Yarrowia lipolytica: one gene and its partner. The protein of the gene in region 2 interacts with the protein of the main gene of each other region in a pairwise test. Links are inferred from orthologs where the notes say so. Each region holds a gene or a part of one and is shown on either strand. Other genes may lie near its edges.

Region 1 (12,175 bases), on a different chromosome or scaffold from region 2:
CAAGACATGAGGATACTATGAGTTCAGTCCTTGGAATGTGGCCATTGATATAACCGCCTCGGCGTCTTCAAAGGTATGGAGCCCATTCATGTAGAAGGTAAGAACCACTTCAAAATCTACACCAATTCGGGAAGATGATGGTAGCTATTGTCTTCTCGACTACCTCGCACCTGATGGTAGTTCCACTCATACCAGGTTTAGCACTCAATTGGTAGGGGCAAGGGAGTCTCCACCAAAATGACTGACAGGTGTTGATGAACATTGGTCAAACGTCAGATATACCAATCGAATGTGTTTCAGACAGGACCATGGCAACAAGGTCTCCCTGACGGGTTGCTTCCATGAATCACAATCTCATCAGTCAACTTTCAGCAATGGTAGTGTTACCAAGAAGCCCGTTACTATCGATACTGAGGACATCCCGAGCAGAGTCCGGGTTACAGCTATAGCTACAGTACACAACCCAACTCCTTCAGGGATCGAGCAATGTAGACGCAGCCAGAATAAAAAAGAGGGAGCTATAGTGATGTTCCAACTGTAGAAGATTACAGCGCCCTCGTTTCCCTACAAATACTTATCCCTGCAATACTTACTGGGCTCTCTGAAGCTTGACTGTGGGCGATCAGACGGGAAGTCCTAACACGACGGTCCCCTCGATAAGTGGAAGGATCAGCAGGTGAAAAGTGAAAAGACAGATTGCAATTGGTGTCTCTTTGAACAGCTTCCATAGCCGTCTGGTAGGTGGAGCACCTACCTCGACAGTGGTCGCGGCACGCTGACTGGCAATTGACGGTCTTTAGAGATAAAAACCGAGACGTGATCATTTATTAGTGCTATTAACGCATATAGACACCACCGTCGGCATCTCTTTGATACTTCTTTGGGCTCCATTCCACCGTTCTCCCTTGGTTTAGATACATGTCTGAATATTTTATTTACAGTTTAATATACAACCGAATACGATAAACCTTAAATTTGACTTTTGATTGTTTTTTATTCAAAATATTTTATAACATTAGTATTTTTTACCCCATCAAAAACGTACAAAATACGTGGGCTACACAATAGTTGAATGTGTTAGTAAGTCCGTTCATGATTGGTTTTAGTTTTGAAAATAAACAACAGGTGGCAAATACACCTTAGTTGAGATCTGGATTGTGGTGCGAAAATGCGGTATTGTAACTGTAGAATGGTGTTGAGTAGTGGTAGCAGGTACATTGTCTAGCTGTAGGAATAACCACGGCCTCTATTGGCACACCTGGTCATCAACATCAGAGAACCAATATCTGAACCTCTATCAACTCCGCCACAGCAGATTTGGTATCACCTGGCAACTTTGATAAGACATGTGTGGCGTGAGTGCCGTGTGAACCTTCAACTCGAGTCTATCGGATCATCGTCGAAGATGATAAATAGAGGGACGTGTCCTGCGGGTCTGGGGAAGGATTGCAAGTCGTCGTACATTCGAAAACCATATTCTTCACCAACTGGCACACTTGCGAAATGCTCATTGGCGTCCAGATCAGGTGGAAGAGCAAACCGGGCGATTCGTTTGGACTCACGGGTTTCACTGAGTGCGGAAATCTGCTGGGGAAGATCCCGCACTTTTCCTTCCACAACGCCAGGCTGATGGTGCCCCACGAGTCTGAAAAACGGCTCGGAAAAGGGTTCAGAAACGCCCCCGCGTTCATCAGATACTGCAGCGATGGACGGGTTTATTCTAACGCACACGTCGAGCACCTGGAGCTCAACATTGTCCCCAGGCCGAAACCCCTCTGTCGATGTCGCAACTGTCTCAGTGAGTTCAAATACAGCAACAATGTCAGTCACAAGAGCTCGCATGAAAGGTCTCCTCTTCTGAACGAAGACTCAGGTATCATTTCGTTTAACTCGCCCTCTTCCGAGCTCGAATGTCCCGTTTTGCGAAATCCACCGACCCCCGTCAAGCTGGAAGGGATCAGCGACTACTCAAACATCACCAGTGTTACGCTCATGTCCAACGGCAGGGTCGAAATCGCCGTCAAGAAGGGCATATTCGAGGCTCGTGGAAGATGGCTGTATCTTCGAGCCGGCAAAACCAATTACTGCCAGGACGGGAGAGTGTGTGCAGTGGACAGGAGCCACCGGGAGTTTCACGTCATTCGCAACCGGGAGGAATGGAGACATTTTTGATCTTCCGGGTGTTGCAACCACCGACCGAACTTCAGCCTGCGGCGACAATGCAACCGTATTGATCTAAGCCGCATGGACTGTTGGTTATCTCCCTGTCACCTGAGTAGAAGCTGCGGAAGCGACAGAAACACGTTAAGCCAGCATTTGACACTGTGAAACTGTTGTTGGCAGAAGGTGACTGTTGGCCGACAGCATAGCCGAGCGACAGGCCAACGAGATGAAGCAGTTTGACCAAGTCCAGTTCAGTTCAATTTTTTTCAGGTCATTACCATTGTCTAATTCGTTGGACATCTAATGATATGATATACAACAATGTAACTGGGTCGTGGAACCTAGGATCTCCAATTTGAAAATGTACTGTACTTGTATATCTGTCGACATTTTCGGTAATTGAAAGAGGACATGCCATGAGAGAGCGATTATCAGAGCAGATTAACCATAGCTGAAGTACAACAGACTTCAGTTGAACCGTACTCTCGTGCTCTTGCTTGTACTCAGCTCAGTGATAGCACAGTTTGTAGTATGAGTGCCATAAATGGTGACTATTGAGCTTGAATTGGGATCTCGACAAAAGGAGTAGAGACCCGCCCTTCACCTTTTTGTTCTTAGAATATGCAGACCCAATTGCAGAAATAGTGGAGAGCTGTGCTGCACCAGTAGTATGAGTAGGAGACCCATGGTTGTGAACTAGGTGGTGAAACCAGGTGGTGAATCAAAGCCTCACAGGGGGTTGACAACCGTGTGATAGGTGATCGTAACTGTTAGATTCTGAGAGAGTCCTATTACGGCTTTTGAAACGCTTTACTCTTATGATCGGTCATCTGGTTGTAATGATGAGAGGATGAGTTGGACAGCTTCGAAAGATAGCCTGAAGAAACAAGGAGCAGTCATACAACTCGGGCGGAATGGTGGAATATGGTGAAATACGTGCATTGATTCGGTTTTTTGAAGAAAAAAATCACAAATCACAGTGTCTTCCCCTTCACAATCCCAGTTCGTCATTTCCACAGTTCGCTTGACCAAAGAAAACGCCATGACGAACTGGGTATGTTCTCCATGAAGGCATTGCAATATCTGAGATAGTTTTCAATTAGATCTCGTAGTCATTCTATTTGTAACGTCGGTTTTTGGTCGGTTTTTCATTTCATTTATTTTATTTCATTCTAGTTTTAACCTGGATTCTTTTTTTCATTCTAAATTCGTTTGATTGTGTAATCACAACATAGATATTAACAATTCAGAGCGATTTTTACGTCACAAATTGGCATCCTGGCCGAGCGGTTAAGGCGAGAGATTAGAAATCTCTTGGGGTTTCCCCGCGTAGGTTCGAATCCTGCGGATGTCGCCATTTTTTGCTTCTATTTTTTGCTTCTAGTTTCCATCTTTTGTTTTATGTCGTCTAAAATCTATATCACTCTAACGTGGTCTGACTCGTGGAATGACTCGTCGAGTAGTCGTTTACCACCCTCTTCTTTTCGCCCTCGGACTCATCCACCAGCTCAATCGACTCGCACGACGACTCGCCCACTCCATCGACCACATCGACGGTGGTTTTGGGACCCGTGTACCATCTGTGAGCAAACAGAAAGTAGTATGTCAGACAGCCTCCCCAGACGCCGGCCAGAATGACGCATGTGTAGTTCATGGACAGCTTGTCTGGGTGGGCTGTGGTGCCGGGGAACTGCAGCAGGATGATTGCAAAGAACAGATAGGTGGACGCGAAGGTTCCAATAGCAATGGAGAGTCGTTTGCCTAGATAGAACGGGCCCGGAGTCAGCTTGTTTTGTCCAAACACCAGCTTCAGAGTCAGTGGGATGAACCACGCCAGATAGTTGCCTCCAGCCGACAGGGAGAAGATGGCGGCGGCAGCAGTAGCATCGATCATACAGATGGAGCCCAGAGCCAGAGCCAAAAGGGCGTTTCCCCAGACGCATCTAATGGGATTTGAGTATTTGGTGTTGACCACCTTGAGGAATGTGGAGAAGGGCAGAGCTCCATCTCTCGAAAAGGCCCAGGACTGTCGCGACGCTCCAATCACGTTCGAAAGGCCCATGGTCCACTGTAGACAGAAAAAAATGCACATAATTCCAATCGTCCAGTTTTTTCCCAAACAGTCGTAAACCAGCTGGGCCATCGGCTGTTGAAACTTGGTGTTCAAGAGCGGGGCAATATCATGGGGCATGACGGCTGCAAACACAATGTTGAGACAGAAGCCCAGGACCCAGCAGGCACCGATTGACGAGATGATTCCGAACGGAACAGCTCTGGTGGCGTCTGCGGCCTCCTCGGCCATGTGCACGCACGAATCGAACGCTCCAATCGTCCAGATGGGTGACAGCCATGTCAGAAAAAACACCCAGCCGTCGGGCCAGCCGTCGGTCAGGTTGTCAATGTGGGAGAACATGTACTCTCCAGTGTTCAGTCTGTTTCTGGCGCCGATTGGCAGAGCAATCATGACCACCAGAATCACGGCAAAGTTAATGAAAATGCACATGGTCTGGAACTTGGCCATATGGTGTGTTCCCAGAGAGCCCACGCACCCGTGAGACACCACACAGGCGGCAAAGATGCCATAGACGGTGTATTTGGACGGGTTCCAGCGTCCATCTGTTGCCACAATGATCACACTGGTGAAGATCTGTGCAAATCCATAGTCAATGGACATGACTCCTCCAGTCAGGCCCAGGGTGTTGGAGTAGCCAACCAGAAACGACAACGGGCGCTTCAGCTTGTCGGGCGCAAAATAAAAGGTCCACCAGTACAGACCGCCCGAAGTAGGTAGTGCCGATCCCAGCTCGGACATGGTGAGCCCCACACTCATGACGCAAAACGCACACACAAACCAACCCCACACCATTCCGTAGGGCCCTGCTGGGAGTGTGTAGGAGAGAGTTGTGGCGATGGAGGGAAGCAAGCCCATGATGGAGAAGGCGATTCCAAACATTTGCAGCTTGGAAAAGTTGCGCTTCAGTTCGGGCTTGTATCCAATGTCGGCCAGGACCTGGTTGTCCAGGGTGTCGGGGGGTTTAGCCTCTGGGTCGTTCATGGTGGGTTTGGAGCAGCGGAAAAGGAGATGGTGAGGGGAGCGATGGCGATAAGGACAGGAGGGAAAAGCGACGACACTATGCCGACGACTGGTGAGTGATTTACTCGTCGAAATTTCCGATTCCACTTATATACAGTCGCTCAAACACTAACACTAAAGGCCCATGTTAGCTTTGGGGGGGGGGGGGGGGGCATGGTCGGGGCGTGTAGTGGGTTCAAAAAGGGCAGGAAGGGAGTGGGCGTTGGAGGGTATTGTGGTCGAGAAAACCTCGTCTGAGGGGCATTGCCAAGCCTGCCAAGACTCGAACAAGCAAACTTAGCCGCTTATCGCGCGTTATCGGGTCTTGGCCCGGGCTGGGACACACGTCTGGTGGTTGCGTGGTTGCGTGCGTCGCTATCTAGATAAGACAGGCTTCTGTTTCAAACTGTTTTTCAGAAAGACAAGTTTGGACGGCGCGAAGCTTGATTGGATTCGCCAATGGTAGCGGGGGGAGGTCATGGCGACTTGACGACCGTTGAGACTGAATCCGGGCGATATTATAGGCAGTTGAAATCGTAAAAAGTTGCAACAAACGCCCACCGGTCGAAGTCGCACCGATTCCGCGACTTTTGCGTCGTGTAGACGATGCGAGATGGCACGGCAGAAAGCACGGGAGCCGCAGTCAAGCCACACGTGTCGAATACATACATATATGAACGAGCGGACGAACCCGACATTCCTGATTGGATTAGGTTGGACAGAAAGAGAGACCGGCAAGTGAAATGAAATGAGATGGAACGGAATGGAGAAAGCTACCAGTACGAATAGTTATTCCGGGATTTGCCAGACATGGCGTATTAGTGTTGGTTGGGGAGACGTAATCGGTATGGGAGAGAAGTATGGGAGAAAAGTAATCGAGTTTTCTCGGCTCTTCGACGAGTCCGGCCAAAAAACAGTAAATACAAGCACTGATGTTGTCATATCATCTCTGTGGTAGCAAGATCCTTGTCCTTATTCTCCATATTCGCAACCTCTTGCATCACCAACAGTAATGTACAATACTGACAGTTAGTCCTCCTTCATTCACCAGACACCAACTTTCTTGTGCACTGATGACGTCACGAGAGCCAGAACCAAAGAATGGGAAAAAGAGAGAGATGAGTGGATCTGGGGAGGCGATTTGGTCCCTAAGACCTCATGACCTCTACGGAATTGAGATGATCTGCGGACGAGCAAGTTCCAACGTTCATTTTAGGGATGTTCTGGGCACTGAGAGATATGTTCCAGGCGTCCTTTGCAACGATTTTTTGGGCCTGGACATTTACCGGAGCATTTCCTCTTTTATAATCTCCTCAGGTCAGACAATGGTGTCAAATACTCTCCGCGGAGTAGTGTTATGCTGGAAAGAGTGACTCTAGATAGTGATACTCGCCAAGAGGGACAATAATGTAGTGTACTTGTACTAATAGTACCTTTTTCTGATGTAAACATTAGATGTTGCAACTCCTCAAAATCTCCTGGATCCCTCTAGTCTGGCTCTGTTGTTGTTACGTATTCCACTACAATTTGTTATAATTATAGTTGGTAATTACTTAAGATTGACTCCGTGAGCCGGTTGTCCGTCTTCGGAGACACCCAAGAGAATATGAGTATATCAGGAGATCGAAAAAGGTAACATTCCCGTCAAAATACATATCGTGGACATTTTTACAGTCATAAAATGCTCAGAGTGAGTCGAATTGGGTGAATAATTGTCATTTATGTGCCAAGACGGTTCTTTGAAGTTTTCAGATATGAGCACGAGAAGACGGTGCCTGCAATTGTACAACAGAAAAACACAGAATATTTTCACCATAGAATCATGGGCTTCTCAAAAAGCCCCGATCAGTGGATCAATTCCGCCACCTGGTTGTCATTATATTACACACCAGTACACATACGTACTGTACTGTACATACTGTACGTACCCAGTAACTCCCCAACAATTAAGTAAATAACCAGCTAAAGGTTTCCTTTTTCCAACAATAACGCCTTTCTCTACTTACCTTACTGCACTGTGCTGTTTTGTTCTCACCAATTTTTTTATTTTTCCAGATTTTAGTTCTATGAATTTTTTTATATTTTCTTTTTTTTATTTTTATTTTTTATTTTTCTTCCAAAACTCTACCCAGCCACGCGTGGCGCACTCAGACGGACCCTGTTGTCCAATTGACGGGCCAAAAACAAGCGGATTTTCTGTAAACAAAAACGAACGAAAAAAGGGCCCAAAATAGCTCGCTCCCCAACTCGTATCAACGCGCTCCGCTCGGTCTAAAAATACCTCCGGGCCAAAATAACCAAACACATGGGTCAAGGTTCTCACCATCTACCCTAACCGCGACCCCACCAACCATGTGTTTGAACCGCACCACCAGGTATACGATTTGCCGCTAGCTACACCAACAACAATGTCGTCCTCCATGCCGTACGACCCGTACGCCGGCGAGAGCCATGCGCAGACGCACCATACGGGCAACCACAAAACGGCCGCCATCCAGGCGCAAATCGACGATACCGTGGGCATCATGCGAGAGAACATCAACAAGGTGGCGGAGAGAGGAGAACGACTGGACTCGCTGCAAGATAAGACAGACAACCTGGCGGTGTCGGCCCAGGGCTTCCGACGAGGCGCCAACCGGGTGCGAAAGGCCATGTGGCTCAAGGACTTCAAGATGAAGGTCTGTCTGGTCATTGGAGTCATCATTCTGATTGTGGTGATTGTGGTTCCGATCGCGGTCCACTTTTCCGGACGATAGATAGACGTGGCGACACGACATGGGAGAGACGCACCTTTAGAGCAGACGTCCGCGCGTCGGGACTTATTAACGACTATATGAGAATAAATGCTAACTGTGTATGATAGATGGCATTTTCGTAGATCAGCTGGAACCGTCAATTGCTACAGTGCAAGGGCTAACAAGCGTTAGTCAGGGTTAACACTCGGTCGACTAACACTCGGTCGACTAACATTCGGTCTACTAGCACCCAGTCAAACAAACGCTCATTCGACCAACGCTCAACTAACACTCGGACGATCAGGGCGAGCGGTAGGTTCTACACAACAAGTACCACGGCATGATTGCATCAGGTGTCGTTCAATAGAATATCCAGACTGCCGAGAGGCTTCAGTAATGGATTCATTGAGATCGCGACTCCAGAGACAGATGTGCAGTGGAAGCACTGAGCTGCGGGTCAACACTCAACTCCATCGATCGATACGTGTGAGACAGAGTCGGATAGAAGACCGTAGCCGGGTTCAGATAAGTTGCTCTTGAGTTTATCACTATCGGCATTGTCGTAAGTAGATTGATCGCTTGAGAGCAAGTAGAACATCATTCTACTTAACTGTCGCCGAGGAATCTACTTTCCGTGCACCGACGAGATTTCCACCTTCTGTAGGAGTCACTTCCAAGCCAGTTTTTTCTCAAATACACCTTTCTGAATGCAATACTAGTACAGTACCGTAAGAATCGCTATCACCAGTTCGAACCCAAGATACAGTCCACATGTACAGATCTGCAGTTTGTGACGTCTGACTGCATATATCAAGTACTGATGGCATGTGGCTGAGCGATACGAGCTTGTGCGTAAAAGCACCTTAACAGCGATTTCAAAACCAGGCAGCGATGGTGGAGTGGTTATGATACTGACCCCCACAGACCCCCGTCTTTTATCTTATCAATCAGAAACCTTAATATATATAATTTTTCAAAAAAATATCAAGTGAATTTATATCAAATATGTCAGTGACTCGCAAATGGATTGGCGACTTACTACTGATCGGAGAGACCTTGTTCCCGTTTGTGGTGATAAATCCACAAGAGCAGGGGGATTTTTTCTGGCCAGATGATGACCTGATGTTGACCTGATGTGGGCTCAGTCCTACTCCTCCAAAGAGTCCTGTGGTGTTGTGAAGTCGGAACAAGCCCTATCCAGTCATGTGCAACCTATCCAGTCAAGTGGAGGTCGTTAATCTATGTACAAGTTTCCCTTGTGACTTACTGGGAAGACGTCCGATAACCACTCTGCAGTCTCTGAGACCACTTGTGGGATGACACTTTGTCCTGAACACTGCATCAAGTTGACCATCGTAAAGTCTTCGAACTTGTCTGGTGCTCGGAAGGACGCTCGATCTTACTTTTCTCTCCTTATCCGTGTTCAACAGGGTGGGTTTATCAGCGCGGTCAGGATTCACCCGGCATACAGACCTCAGAGACTTCGTGGTAGTCTGGCACACAGAGCCACAGGGACTTTGTTATCGTCCTGAACAGATATTGACTCCTTGTCAGGATGCTCGTCTTCATCATTAACGGCACTTCTTGGTGTATTCAGGCTCCTTATAGTCATTATCGGGATTGAGCTTCATTCGCTCCTTGGGAGACAGGTTCTCGTAGTCTTCATTTTGGTCAAACGTGCAACAGGCCAGTCTGTTCAGCGGGTGTCCAATATCTAGGTGGTGTTGGCTCGGAGATAGAGATAGTGATACACTCACCATTCTTCAGCTTCTGACAGTATACTGGTCTACTTGTTTCGTCAAGTTTCACGGCTCATTCCTCGCACAACAATCACATCAATTACAACTAATCTCATCACCTACAGCAAATACACGAAGGCCCCGTGACTCGTCTTCAGCTTAAGCACCACCACCAGGGCGGCGGTGAATACAACGCCGGCAATCATAAACGCCATATTGACCCAGGCGGCTTTCACAAACAGAGGAGCGGCGGTGGCGACCCATGTTCGCAGAACAATGACTCCATACCAGTTAGTGATGAAGGTGAAAACGGCAAAGCTCATGAGTCTTCTGTTTCTTCCTTGGACGTTGCTCCCCAGCCAGCAGGCGAGAGTAGGCATGGCAGCGACCATGTTGGGGATAATGAACCACGCTCCTCCATATTTGATCCAAAAGTTCTTGTGGCTGGGCGTGCACAGAACGAGAGCCCATCCAATGATAGCAAACAGGTAGTTCGCCAGCAGGAACGGGTAGTTGGTCTTGTACTTAGTGGAGAACCAGTTTTGAACTAGACAGTAGAAGCAACTCCACACCAGAATGGGCCAAACGATGCATTGACCTAGAGCTGGTGAGTATTTGAGCACGTGCAGAGTCACGGTCATGAGCTCTCCATAGCACGAAAAGATACCATTGTAAGTAAAGAGACCCATGGCACCGGTGAGCCAGACAATGGGGTCTTTGAGAGCCATTCCAAGGCCCTGAATGACTGTCTCGATGGGCTCGATCGGGTTTCCTCCAGCATAGTGTTTTTCGGTGATTTTCTTGAACAGCTGGTATCCGTCTTCACCATGTTTTCTGATCCATCTGGGGTGGTAGAAGTAGTCTGGCAGCAATCTCCACACCAGAGGAGCCTGAAGACAGCCACAGATTCCGGTGATGAAAAACATCCACGCCCAACCGGGCTTTCCGTCTGTAATCAGACCAAGTGCAATGGCGATGAGGGCAAACAGCGGTACCATGAACCAAGATACTGCCCAGGAGCAGGCAATGACAAACTGTCCCTCGAATCTTCCATGAGACTCGTATGTAACCTGAAGAATTACAGGTAGCGCAACACTCATGACGGCCCCCATAATCACTCTGTCCGCTGTAAGACCTCCGTAATTGACACAGATGCCCAACAGTGTGCAACAGAGACCCCAGATGAACATTTGGACTCCAGCAAACACGCGCGGGTTCGATTTAGCAAACAGCAAAGCCATAGGAATTACAAAGACAGCGTAGGTGAAGTATAGTGCTGCCTGCGACCATTCATATTCAGAGGGGGTGAGTTTCAGAAAAGGCTCAATTCCTCCCGTGACAGTCACTCCAATCACGTCCCTTGAAACAATATGAGAAGCAAGAAAAACTTGGAATTGGCAACCAACGGCTATACTTCTGTGTAATTTCAGATGGCCCTCTTTCTTCTTTGAAATGGAGACGTCTGACACTTGTCCAGAAGTGACGCTGTGTTGGACATAAAGATCGTCTGTCTTGGTCTCTTCCAGATGCTCAACTGACGGCTTGTCATCTTCCAGGTGTTCAATGGAGTGTTTGGTGTCCTCGAGATGTTCAATTGAGGTCTTTGGGAAGGTTGATTCGTTCATTTTTACTGCTCTACACACACCCCCAACATGGCTATATAGGAAACCAGTACAAGGCGAGTACAAGGAGCTCAGCAAACTCAGAAGACTCAGCAGAAGTCCACATTAAGTTGGATTGTGGGGAATGATATGGTACTGTGGGGTAGGAGGGGTGTCGGTGAGGTTTTATTGGGATATAAGTTGATTGTTGGACAATCTTTGCTTACTCTAGACGTAAACTCGCAGAACCACGCAATTGTGACCTCAATACAGCGAACCAACGGGACAGGACTGTTCGAAACTGTCTCCACAATCAAAAGGACCCACCCAATGCTAATTGTATCCTTGCTACTACATAGTTACAGTTGCAAATAAACAATCTAGCCGCGTCAGGTGTGTACGGCGGTGGGAGGTGTACCTACGAATGCCTACAGGTTGAATTAGAACTTGTGTCAACGTAACTTCGGCCGAAACCTGTCGGACAATGGGAATTACATCCAGATAACCAGTCTTGGCATTTGCTCCCCTCACTCTGTTGTCGGGGTCTGCATTTTCCGGACTTCCGTCTGCAGTGCCCCCCACCTTCTTTGTCTCACGAGAGGTTCTCCTGTACCACCCAAGAAGCGTTACAGTAGGAGAAAGGAAGGGGGAAACCCGTTCAGATCGGCTTTGATAAGGGATCTGTATGATCACTTGTCTAGTTTTTCTTCCTCTTTTGCTCTCAATACCTCTTTTATCGACTATTCCCCTCGCCTTAACGAGAACCCTGTCGGCGACTAACTTCAATCCTACCCCACACATCTGCAACAGATGGAACATACAGATGGGGGTTTTGAACATTAATCGACTTTGAACTGGCCATCT
Region 2 (12,947 bases):
GTCGTCCATGTTGAAATCCTGCATGGGCACAATGTTGGGGTCGCCCACGTTGAACAGGTCAGAAGTAGGATCAGGGGTAGGTGCAGAGCTGATTGTGGATGCCGGCGTGGGAGCAGGTGCCTGCATCGGGGTGGGCTGCTGCTGAGGCTGCTGCGGTTGTTGCTGGTGCTGCAACTGCTGCGGCTGGTATCCCTGCTGCTTCTTGAGCCGGTCAGTGAACTGGTCAATGTGACGGCCATGATCCTGAAGCTGTCGCTGCAGATCGTCGGCCTTGCCGTTGCCGTTGATGTTGAGGTTGTTTCGGGGACGCTCGGCCGACCGGATCAGCTGGTCGTTGGCGCCCTGGAACGCCTCTAGCTCAGGGAATAACGCGCCGGGCGTACTGGGCTGGTAGTTGTAGTTGTGGTGCGACATGTTCTGCGAGCTATGGGAGCTAGTGGAGTTGTTTCGCATTGGCGTCTGGGGCATGTTGATGGAGTTGTTGGAGTTGTTAGAGAGTATCAACGAGGAATTCTTGTTGAGGTCTCCGAAACCCATGGGAGGCTCCATGGACTGCTGCACAGTCTGGGGGTCCAGCATGGAGGGCGTGAAGTCCGACAGGTCAGTGAGGTCCTGCAGGTTGTCGGGAAGCTCCGATCCCGTGTCGGTGTCGTATGCCGTAATCTTGTCGTAATTGTTGCTTGTGTTGTTTGTGTTGTTTGTTTTGTTGTTTTCTTCCCGGGGAGATCCTGTTACCGTCTGCGGTGAGTTGGTAGAGGACAGCGGCTGGACTCGTGCAAACGAGGGGCTGTCGTTGGGGTTATTGCTGTTGTTGTTGTTGTTGTTGTTGAACATGTCGTTCATCTCAAAGGGGAAGTTGCCGCTGTTCTCTGCGGCAGCAGCAGCTGGGAGCCGGCCCCCTCATTGATCATATGTGTAGCCTGGGCGGGATCAGTGTTGCCCAGAAGCAGACGCTGGTTTCTGTTGCCAGAGATGGCTTCTCCAAGCACCTTGCCCTGGTTGCCGTACAGAGAGGCCAGGAAGCGCATAATTCGCTCCAGCGTCTCGCCATGCTGCTTGTGCTTGTCCTTGAAGCCCAGGTTCTCTTGCCACAGGAGCTGGTTGTCTGTGCGGAGCTTGTTGACCTCCTGGGTCAGGTTAAGCTGGTTGAGCTTGATCTGCTGCAGCTCGTCCATCAGTGTGGTCATGTCCATTTCCTCCTCCTCGTCGCTGCCCTTGGTTCCCTTGTTTCGCACAATGTTGTCGAGCAGGTCTTCGCGGCCGCGGATGAAGTTGGGGCTCTTGAACTGCCACACCTCGTCGTTGGATTGCATGCTGCCACTGGTCACGTCCTGGACCTTGTGCCACCCGTACATGTTGAGCTGCCGCACAAACGACGAGAAGTTGTTATGTTTGAAGAACCGCGGCAGCACAATTTTCTCCAGCTGCTCTCGGCCCGTGATCTGGAACGACTTGCCGTCAGGCATCCACCGGATGTACTCGTCGTAGGCAGGGTCGTTGACCATGTTCCACAGCTTGAACACAAACGCAGGCCGGCCCTTGGTCTGGCCGCCGCCCTTCTTTTTGTTGTAGCCGATTTTTTTGGCGTTGGATGCCGCCTGGCCCTGGCCCTTTTTGACCAGAGTGTTGGACATGATGTTGGTAAGTGTGGTGGGAAGTAGTTTCGAAAATGTGCTACTGAAGCAGCTGCAGGGGTCTTTGTGTCGATGTGACTTTGGCTGTGTGGCGAACAGAGACACTACCGCCTTGGGGGAGGTTGCAAGCTGTCGTATCGAGAGGTGGGGGTAGTGGTGATGAAGACGCTCGCAAAGCTTTGTGTTGCTGCAATGGTTTTTGGGTGCTGCAGAAGCTCTCTCAACTCTCTTTTGCCCTCTTTAACGCTCTCGCACACGCACTTGTATAGCAGTAGAGTGTCGCTGGAGTGTTGCTGAGATGCGGGTAGGGTAAATGTAAAAAAGTGTCGGTTGGGACAAGCACAATGAAAAAGAAAAAAAAAAAATTCAAAAAAGTAAAAATTAAATAATTGTTTTAAAAAAAGGTAGCCAAGCCAAAAAAGAACATCCGCAAGGCGACCTGATATAAATGCACCCAGTGCCGCTACTACTACATGATATAGACGCTCCATGCACATATATATGTGTGATAGAGCTGCAGAGACAGACTGCCTCGTCAACGGAGCCAGAACCGACGCCTTTGCACGACTCCTAACAGCCTTACCCTTGGGTTTAACGCAGGCGTCACCATACCAGGTGTGCATGAAATCAACATTTGCGTCCGGTTATCTTGCATCGAGGCGGATAGGGGGTGCCTAAGTGAGAGTCTCTTCATCGGGCTACTGCAAGATGGCCGACACCTTCTGTTTCACCTGTCGCGCTTTTCGTGTCGATAAAGCACCCTAAAGCGCTGCATCTCGGCTCGAGTCCCTACAAGTGGTACACTCTACATGTCTTCGTCTGCTTGTCTTTCTCTCAACATGCTGCCTCACTCTTGCGGTTAGACTCCATGGCACACGGCCGAGCCCCAGAGTCTAAAGAGCCCTCCTCAGAGTTGCCAATCGCTCATTTCAGCTGTTTCAGGCACCGCGATCGTCTTGGGCGTCCGTCGTCTACGTCGCAAGTGTAAATAGCTCACATCGGAGTGCGAGTGCGAGTTCGAGTGCAGTGGTGTTGGTTACAAGGTAGACAGCCTGAAGCATCCCGACTTACTATAGTACATACTACTACAAGTTCACACCACCCAAAAACAATCAGCCCAGGAGTTGCAAACCTACCCTACCCGCCGATTGATAACGTCACGTGACCAAAGTCTCATTCCATTCCAACCCAACATTTTTCTCAAACATACGTCTGACAAGCACATGAATGACGTGTGTCGTTTACTCCATCCTCGCGGACGATGTTATGGGGTGGAGTTGCTAACGTTGCTTGTTGGCCGAGTCCATATGAGACATGAATGTTGTGTGGGTCTCTCTCTAGATTGGCGCTTGTATGAATGTTCAGATTTGCTCGGAAGTTGGGTCAACCGTGGTCATTCCGTCCTCCAATCGGTTCGGGAGCATCAATGAAAACTCGTCAATTCCTGACACTTTGATCCTTTCAAATTTCTTCTTCCGTCCTCCTAAATTGGTGTCTGTTCGAGAGCGGATGTTGAGCGGGACGGCAGAGAGCGGTTATGCTTTTCAGGCTCAAAACATTGTTGCTTGAACCCATATGAAACCTGAAACTGGTACGAATGCCCATTGAGGAACGCATGCTCTGTTAATACATAATACACCACCCAGTCCGGGGTTTCTGTTGTTTTTTTCTGTTGTTTTGTCTGTTGTTTTCTGCATCATCTGGCCACTTTTGATACTTTCAACCAAGAGCGCCAACTAACTCCAACTAACTTCCAATGTCCCGACTAAACCGCTCAATCTTCTCCTTGCTAGGCCTCGGAAAAACGCCGCATGTGTGCAGCAAGGCAACGGAAGGTCACGTGGAACGCAAAAGTATACCCGCTAGAGCAGCCCGGTGGACCTGTGGACGTGACCACCCACCGCCCGGGTGGGGAAGGCCCTGCGTTGGGGCCGATAGGCGAGAAAACCACTCGAAAATCGCTCAAATAATTATTCCTAGCCTGACTGTTGCAGCTCACCTTTATTTTCCAGCGTGTGCCCCACTGCGTCCTGACACACACTGTTTATTTTTGACATGTGTGAATGGCTGGCGCGGATGTAGACACCGGATCCCGGACCCGGTCGGCAGCGCAAACGGCGCCCGTAACCAGCCCTATAACCACCGCAAAAAACATGCGCCGGGGAACGCAAAAAGAATGGCGGCTCTGGCCCGTCGCTTGCCCCGCCGTCCACTTGTTGAAGGACGCACCATGTTCGTTATCTGACCGTTGCCGTTACGTGTAGATTAAACTTTTGGGCAAATCCAAAATATCTACGGGTGCGAAACGCTGTCTAGTCCTCTCTCTCTCCAAGCGTACTCTTCGAGCAACACCACTGCTGGATCCCGTAACGACGCCCCGCCACAGGCCCCCCGCAACACCAATACCCGAATCACCCCCCAACCCCGCCACCCAAGCAACCATGGGAAACGCACAGAGCCAGGAGGAGGCCAACAACAATGGAGCTGCTCGGCAGCACCGTCCAGCGGACAACAACGGCCATCACGACCCCAAGGGCTCCGCCGATCCGCAGCCCATCCCCCAGGAGGGCTCCGACAACACACAGAACCATGTGAGCCATTCGCCAGAGCAAATGTCCGCCAACTCGTCGCATGTCAGCGCAACACCCTTCAACAACCCATTTGAGCCCGCCTCGTACCACAAAGAGTCGCCTGCTCCGGAAAGCGTCCCCGTCCCCGTGGCGCCCGCAAAGAGCCACCCCCAGCGGCCCAAGATGCGACGAAAGTCAACTTTGCTGCTGGATGAAGACGAACCCGTGGGAGAGAACGACGACGATATCCCCTTCGACAAACTCAACATCACCCATCCCACATCCAACGAGCCCAAGCCGCTGTCACGGGTGGACTCCGGCGAAGAGATCGAACTCACCTCCCCTCAGGTGACCGAAGGAAAGATCCCCCTCGAAATCAAATGGACTCAGGGAGGCTCCAAGGTCTACGTTACTGGAACCTTCACTGGTTGGAGAAAGATGGTGGCTCTGACCCCGGACCCCAACAAGAAGGGCGTCTTCTCTACCACCCTTCATCTTCCTCCTGGAACCCACAGACTGCGATTTGTCGTTGACAATGAGCTGCGATGCTCAGACTACCTCCCCACAGCCACAGACTCCATGGGTAATCTTCTCAACTACGTGGAGGTGGGTCTATCGGACACCGAGGAACGGGCCGACCAGAAGGATCTGCATCCCATTTCTCGAGCAGGCATCATCCCCAGTAACGACGATCTGGGAGGAGGCTACGAGCGGTTCACTGAAGAAGATCTGCCCAAGGAGGAGTACGAGTTCACACCGGAAATCCCGGCTCTGTTCACCGACACAGAAGTGATGGAGCAGTACATCTCCAAAGAGTTGCCCACGCCTCCCCAACTGCCTCCCCATCTGGACTCGGTCATTCTCAACACAAACTCCACCGAAAAGGAAGACAACTCGGTGCTGCCCATCCCCAATCACGTCATTCTCAACCATCTGGCCACCACGTCCATTAAACATAACGTTCTGGCCGTGGCCTCGGTCTCCCGGTACTCTCGTAAGTACGTGACCCAGGTTCTCTACGCTCCTTTGCCTCTTCAGGCATAAGCATAGGTGGAAATGAGGAAATGAGGAAGGAGGTTATATAGAGTGTCGCAGTACGTACAGTAATTAGCATAGATGTATTTGGCGATAAGGACATTAGGAGAGCACCCGTAATGAAGAGATCAAAAGGAACAGTATGATCTATGACAGGTGTTCCTGTACACTTGCTTCACTCGCTTCACTAGACAGTGCATATATCGTGTGAATGTTATCAATCTACTGTATATTCCGTGTACATACTATATAATACCTCAGACAAATACAACTCAATAGTGCAGCTGCGAAGCTGGAAATCGAAAAATCAACTCTTCTTGCCATCCTCTAAGAGCACACAAAAACGCATGAAAAATTGACCTTTCCATCTCACTGCTTTGAAGGGTCCATAATGATGAGGTTCAATTGATATGAAACCTTATTAAAACTTCCTTTATCAATCTTCTTGTACAGACTTGTTTGAATATATACAAATACGAGTAGTGGAGTTGCACAACTTTGGGTGGCGTCAATTGATAGGTTATCGGAGTTATTCATCATCATCAAAATAAACCAGTGCACAATGGCTTCGAATTATCATTATCATTATTATCGTTAGGTAAGCACTTGAATACCGTCACTCTCCAAGAGCATCGTAAATAGCCTCCCAATCCTTGACCAAAGCCGCATAGAAATCCACCTGTCCAGAGGTCAGAGTCTTGAGAGTCTCCTTCATCTCGCCGGATCGAATCTTGTCGAAAGTGTTAATCTCGCGCTTGGTCTGCTCGTCAAAGGCCTCGGACGTGGTCTTGGCCAGATTCGTCTCGCCCGTGAGACTCTCGATCCGGCCCTCGAGCTTCTGCAGCCGTTCCCGTCGTGAAAACTCATGGTTGATACCCCGAATGTCCTCCAGCTTGTTTCGCAGAATACCGTTCCCTCCACCAGACACCAGCGCCTGTCTTTCGGCCACAGCTCGCTCATTGTACTCCACCAGGCCCTCGTAGTCTGCCTGCTTCTGGTCTCGTTGTTTGAGCAAAGCTCTGACCGACACAAGATAGTGCATGAGATCCTTGAGAGAAGACACGTAGTCGGTATCAAGTTTCTCCTTGAGCACGGCTGTGTTGATGGCCAGCGCCTGCAGGCCTCCAGCAAACTTGGAAAACTCTTGTTCCAATGAAGGAATCAGATGCTCCAGCTGGCCCACGTGCTGCGACAGGTCCTGGTAGTCCATGACCAGATCTGACTGTCGACGCACAGACCGAGCCAGTACCTTTTCAATGTGCGACACACACACGTCCAGGCGGTCGATTCGTTCCTTGACCTCCTGGAACTCCTGGGCCGTCTGTGGGGGTCGAGTGAATGCACTGACCAGCGTGTCGGACAGTCCGTCCAAAATTCCTCCGTCCACAATCAGTCCTCCTCGTGCAATGTTGTTTTTCTTGTATGCGTTCCATTCGCCAGACTCCAGAAAGGCGTGGTAATATTTGGACCGTTTGAGCAGGGGGTGATGTGCTATGCGTGAGAGAAACCGTGTCAGAGATGCTGCTCGCTTGACTGTGAACTCTGTCGAAAACCGGTCCCCTCGAATGTACTCGAGACGCTGCTTGTCCGGGAGAGGGGGCACCACACAGGCCTGGAACTCGTTGTTCAGGCAGTTGTAAAGGAAGACAAAGTCCGAAAACCGGCGTCGGACTCGGAACTCCTTGTTCGAGAACTGCGTGTTGTTGGACTTGGTCGTCACGAGGTATGTGATGTGGGCGTTCTGGGTTCCATCCAGGTCTTTGGCCGGATCGCTCACCACAGAGTCGATATAAGTCTTGTCATTTTCGAGCGCATGGTAGTCGCTTCGATACAGGTCTGTGTCTGAGTGCGACGAGGGTCCGTTGGACGATGACGCTATGCCGTTAGAAGGACCACTCGAAGGCCCCGCTTCATCTTGCCATTCCATCGTATGCAGTGAGAGTGTGTGATGGGGTTTGATGGGGTGTGGTTGTAGTTGTAGTTGTTGCTGTTGTTGGAGTGGGGCTCTTTGTGACTTGTCGTCTTGTTCTGTGTCTGTGCCGCTCCGTCGACCGTCGTTATCAGGTCGTCAAGTGTTTGGCTCCCTATTGCAACAGGCACAGCGAAGGTGGACTGTAGGTTTCTGGGGTTGCCACAGCCCAGATAGAGTTCAGTAACGTGACGTTGATAGTGGTTGGCAGCAAGTGCACCAGTGGAGAGCGTACGGGCGTACGATAGTATGTCGAGAGGGGTACGGCGGGTTTTGTTGGATTTTTTGCTTGGAATCACTTAATGGGTTTTCCAGAAAGACTCTATTCGCGTCTCGTCTATCTCCATTTATAGAATAAGTATAAGTACACTACAGACGGTATTTAGCCTAAATTAACCCCCAAAAAAGAAGGAAAAAAGAAGGAAAAAAAACGAGACATGAGGTCAATATGGAAGAGACAGAGATATGGCTGGATTCTAATGAGTTGAGACCATTCGATTGGTCCAATATTTATCCAGATTGGGCAACAGATACGTGTATGAACTGCTCCTTAACTAGCATATGTACATACTGTACTTGTACATCTCAATAGCGTCTAAAGGCTGAGTAGAGATGAGTCAGAAGGGTCCACCTGATGAAGAATGCTTGTTGTGTGTCCTCAAGCAAACCAATTGTGTTTGTTACATACCCAGGAACCTTCCAATGTCGTCTAGTAGCTCATAATCTGTTTCCTGGAGAACTCCGAGGTCGGAATTGGGAGTTGCAGGAAGTACCATCTGTCCTGATACGACAGGCGGGTGATGTACCTGTACTAGCATTGTGGCTACTTGTAAAAAATGATGAACTATTCTGCTGGAGATTATTCCTGGTGCTCACTTCAAAGTCTTGTCTTTCCTTTCTGGTACGAGTGCTCGTTCATAACTACAGTAGTAGTTACTAAACCACTTCTGGCATCCTTCACAACGGCTCTACGAATAGCTACTGTACATACCCCAAGGAAAGTACTTGAACCGAGACTGTAAACCACCAGAATGGCCAATCAAAAGCCACGTCTTCGTGCTTCCAATTGTCCTACTCGTTCCGATTCTTGCACCGGCATTCGTACACGCACATACTGTACAAAATGACCTCAGACGATGCATGCTGTAGACACCTGCAGTTGTAGATTCAGGGGTTGGTTGAGTATATTCAAGTGTGGATCGATACTCAGTATGAGGATATTCAAGTGTTGACTGAGTATATTCAAGGGTCGATTGAGTATATTCAAGGGTCGATTGAGTATATTCAAGTGTTTAGTGCTTGTGAAAGGGACATTTGACTAGCTTGTCGCAATCGGATCACATGTTGACGGAGTTTTCGAACTACAAGTAGTTGTACGGGATCGCATTGTCACGCACAGTCTTCCCCGTCCGCCTTGTGTGTAAATTATATGCCCTTATTCCTTTTTATTTTGGCTCATGTTTTGGCTTCCGGCGAAATAATAACATAACACACACGGCTGACAGAGATGGGCAGCAGAACGTGATAGATGGTGGCTTGAAGCCATATATTGAGTACATAGAAACTCCATCAGCCATCCACAGTTGATATATTTTTGTCACGTGACCGCAATAGATGTTGCCCCCCCTCGGGTCTAGGAGCCATCTGGGTCCCTTCACCTTTCGCGGAGGAATTGCATGGGTGATGCACGACCATGTTATTGTTCCAAACTTTCATCCGGATATTGTCCCTGACTGTTCAAGCACCGCTCTCCAACGCTCCAACCCTTTTCAGCTCGTCGGCCACATCCCTATGAACCGATAATGAACCAGCCCGACCCCAAGGCTAACGTCAGGCCGCTGGCCATTCGAGGAAACTCGTGGTACAGCGAGACTGGTGAGGACTCGTCGCAGCAAACATCCATGCCCTCATCTCCATCTCAGCGACTTTTGGGCAGCACAGCAGCCTCCAGTCTGGCTGTGTCTCCCGTGGGATGGGCCACGAGGGCCGGCATCACGCTGCCCCTATTCCGAAAAGCCTCCATGATCCTGCCAAACACAGGACAGCGAGTACGACGACAAGTGACTTTCAGCAACGAGGAAGGGCGACTGGTGCCACAGACAATCAAGATAACGCCTGAAGAACTGGAGGCATTAGCAGACGCAAACGCAAACGCAAACGCAAACGCAAACAATTTCCAGACAACGTACCAAAATTACAACAGTATCACCGAATTTGGAGAACCCAACAGCAGTTCTTCTCCAAACTCGCCAGAACCGGACCCCGAACGGTCCTTCAACTACGCTGTATCGACAGTTGACAGCCCCACAATGTGCCACAGACACAAACCAAAGCCCACAGGAGTGTTTGGGAAACTGAAATATTACGCCACTGGAGCATGGATCGATCCAGAAGCAAAGGTCGTCTTAAAATGTTCAGTGGGATACCTTCTAGGAACCGTGTTCGTCTACAACGACCGTCTCTCAAGACTATTGGGTAACGGTGACTCCAAACATATGGTTGCCACTTCAGTTATTTATTTCCACCCAGGAAGAACCATGGGAAGTATGGTTGAGGCTCTTATTTTTGCATCTATCGCCCTGCTGTACTCCTTTTGTGTCTGTTCTCTGAGTATGTTAGTGTCGGCATTTCTGGTCGACTTGCATATGCGCCTATTGGCGTACATTATCGACCTAGTCATCTTCTGCGCCGTGGGACTGGGCACTCTGGCCTTTGTTAAGCAGAAAATGGACTTGCCGACTTTCAACACTGCCACTTCACTGGCGTGTGTGTGCCTTGTTAGTGTGCTGACGAAGGAGGGAAACGTGCAGCAGGGCAGAATTTCTTTGGAACAGCTGAACCAGATCTTCTTGCTCGCCATTACTGGTTGTACTGTGTCTGCTCTGGTTTGTGTAACGCTCTGGAGAACTTCTGCAGTCACAGAACTCAAGCAATCCATTTCAAACACCATGGACATATATGGAGACATGCTTCTGTATCTTACCAGGCAGTTTATGCGGGCTGTCGACGTGGACAGCGTCGAGTACATTGAGCTCAAGGCCAAGCTGCGTGCCCAGCTGAGTTGTTTCAGAAACATTCGTCATGCGAAGCTGGAACTGTACTTGACAGGCCGAGAAGATGAATACCACCAGCTGGAGAAGCTCGTTCATCACATGAACAGTATTCATCAGCATCTTAACGCTCTTACTTCAGGTGTTGAAACGGAGCATTCTACATTGACGCGAAAGAAGCTGTCCCAGCTGTTTAAGGACAGCCCCATCAGAAAACGACACTCATTGAAGAGAACTCTTTCTACCCCTGGAAGTTCTCTTCCTTCCCCGAATTTTGCATCTACAAAACCCAATGAGCCTACAATCACGCCTGAAAATCTGTTTGATGTCTTCTTATACCACTTGGGTCCACCCATGAAGTCTTTTTCTCTGACCATGAAGCGGATCTTGCACGGTTCGGAGCTCGACAAATGCGATGCCGAGGCGGATGTTGCTCAGTACCAGAGATCACTTGGTCTTGCTGAGGAGCTATTCTGTGAAGCCAGAAAGAAGGCTCTGGCTGAAGTCTACGGCTTGGGGCTGTTTAAGCGAAGGCACAATGACGAGTTCATCACTGATTGGGAGCAGGTGGCGGCTTCGTGTGGTAACTTCTCGCTGCTGCTTGAAGAAATGGCTTCTGAGGTGCAAAAGTTGCTGGGAAGCATAGAGGGATACCTCACCATCCGTGAAAACGACGAGAGAAGCTACCGATGGCTGTGGGGAGGCAAGCATAGAGAACCGACGGCAGCAGAGGAGGCAGAAACTTCCCAGAGGAGTGCAGTCAACAAGATCATCAGTGGACGTAAGACCATGGCGTTCATGACTCGACAATCTGATCTTCTGGAGGAGGGGTTTGCTGGGCGAATGCATGATGATCTCAATAGTGCTCTGACTAAGAAGGCAAAGCACGGAGAGCTCGAAAAACCGTCTATGTCGTTCCGTCTGTGGAAACGCCTGCGTGTTTTTAGAAGACGAGATGTCCAATTTGGAATTAGGGTAGGTATTGGAGCAGCTATGTTTGCTACCCCCGCTTATATGCCCAGTCTTCAGCCAATTTTCTATACATGGAGGGGCGAGTGGGGGTTGATTTCCTACGTGGTCATCATGTCCAAGTCAGTAGGAGGCACTACTTGGACTGCCTGGAAACGAATTATCGGTACGTTTTTGGGTGCTATGTGTGCCTATGTGTCTTGGGTTTTGTTCCCAGAGAACGAATACATGTTGGCATTGATTGGAGCTGCCATTTCTTATCCTTGTTTCCGCATCATTGTTACGTGGAAGGATAACAATGCGTTTGGCCGATTCGTTCTGCTCACCTTTAACATTACAGCTGTGTATTCGTACTCGTTGTACCTTGGAGACAACGACAATGACGACGATGAAGGAGGTCTAAGGCCTCTGGTAGGTACTATTGCTTTCCATCGGTTCGTTTCTGTGTGTGCTGGAGTTATGTGGGCGTTCCTGGTTACTGTTCTATTGCTCCCCAACAAGGCCCGAGTCAATCTCAAGCATGGTCTGTGTTCACTCTGGTTGCGAATGGGTCTTACGTGGAAAGACCCGCTGGCGTCCCAATTTGATCCTGCTACTGGAGGGTATAGGTTGGTTGGGCTTGCTGAGCAGCCCCAGTTGCAGAACACATTGATCCAGCTGGACGGTCTGCTCAAACATGCCCCCAACGAGTTTCGTCTCAAGGGCCGTTTCCCTAAGAACACGTACGACAACATTCTCAAATCAACACAGAAGATCCTTGATGCGTTCCAGAACCTGCGACTGGTCATTGAAAAGGACCCCACCACGACTCCTCATGAAGCTGTTCTGCTCAAAAGCACGCTGGCTGAACGTACTGAGCTCAGTCATCGAATTTTCCTGCGGTTCTACATGCTGGCCTCTGCCATGAAGCTTGGTTTCCCCTTCCCAGACAATTTGCCCTCCACCAAGCATTCTCGAGACCGTATGATGGTCAAACTGAATATCTATCGAGGCAGTCAACCTGAAGAGTATGAGCAAAACAACGTCATGGCAGCTGGTTCGGAAATCACAGATAACGACTTTGCGCTCCTGTACATCTACATTCTGGTCTGTGTGACCATCACCTCCGAGCTGGAGATTCTAGCCAAGCTGATGCAGGATCTGTTTGGTGTTATTGACGAGGAGATGTTCGATATTAGTTACAGTTAGGAGTGTTAATTGCATTGTTTTAATTGACGTAAGAAAGAGGTTGTAAACTGTTTACAATGTGCGGGAGACAGCTTGAACATCAGACTTGTCGGTGTAGACAGCAGGAGCTAGTCCAATGCTGTAGTCCTCCAAATCGTAGACGACGTAGGCGTTCTTAAGGAAAGGTTCTCCGAGAACAGCATCATTCGGAGATTCATAAAGGGCAGAGTTTTGCACTCCCAGTACACATGAAGGGTCTGTGGTGTCCCCTGAGAAGAATCCCATGGGCAGTACCAAAGACGAAGAGTTGGCTGAGATTGTGAGTCCGTCGAATTTGAAGTCCACGGAGATCTCCGCTTGACAGTCGATATAATACAGACCCATATCTTTGTTGTAGTTGGTCAGGTTAAGCCCGCTTCCTATAGCTCTGAACTGGGTGTCTGGAAAGGCAATAGCTAGCGACCCTGAGTCCAGTGTGACCGGCAGATTGAAGTCGAGTTCGTGTCCGCCAAGTACGAGGCTCTTGAAATTAATCTGGGGACCTGCACTGGGG

Evidence for each region.
Region 1: the proteins of YALI1_E16919g (region 2) and YALI1_A03487g interact in a two-hybrid assay, tested with the Saccharomyces cerevisiae proteins (2 studies listed by BioGRID). The link is inferred for Yarrowia lipolytica from reciprocal best matches to the Saccharomyces cerevisiae genes SNX4 and SNC1.

What each region holds. Positions count from the first base shown.
Region 1 is NC_090770.1:344,245-356,419, reverse strand, and holds YALI1_A03487g (uncharacterized protein), read left to right. Parts: upstream 1-7,644; coding exon 7,645-7,992; downstream 7,993-12,175. Other genes in the region: YALI1_A03549g (uncharacterized protein), read left to right, coding at 1,504-2,172; YALI1_A03512g (uncharacterized protein), read right to left, coding at 3,584-5,218; YALI1_A03507g (uncharacterized protein), read right to left, coding at 5,433-5,615, 5,660-5,716; YALI1_A03450g (uncharacterized protein), read right to left, coding at 9,830-11,335; YALI1_A03442g (uncharacterized protein), read right to left, coding at 11,663-12,175. UniProt on the Saccharomyces cerevisiae protein: SNC1 and SNC2 are vesicle-targeting proteins essential for normal secretory traffic between the Golgi and the plasma membrane. They may also be involved in vesicle fusion.
Region 2 is NC_090774.1:1,686,112-1,699,058, reverse strand, and holds YALI1_E16919g (uncharacterized protein), read right to left. Parts: upstream 7,167-12,947; coding exon 5,856-7,166; downstream 1-5,855. Other genes in the region: YALI1_E16982g (uncharacterized protein), read right to left, coding at 1-843; YALI1_E16974g (uncharacterized protein), read right to left, coding at 840-1,634; YALI1_E16968g (uncharacterized protein), read right to left, coding at 1,739-2,257; YALI1_E16956g (uncharacterized protein), read left to right, coding at 3,391-3,879; YALI1_E16950g (uncharacterized protein), read left to right, coding at 4,076-5,248; YALI1_E16900g (uncharacterized protein), read left to right, coding at 9,011-12,415; YALI1_E16854g (uncharacterized protein), read right to left, coding at 12,467-12,947. UniProt on the Saccharomyces cerevisiae protein: Sorting nexin, involved in the separation or division of vacuoles throughout the entire life cycle of the cells.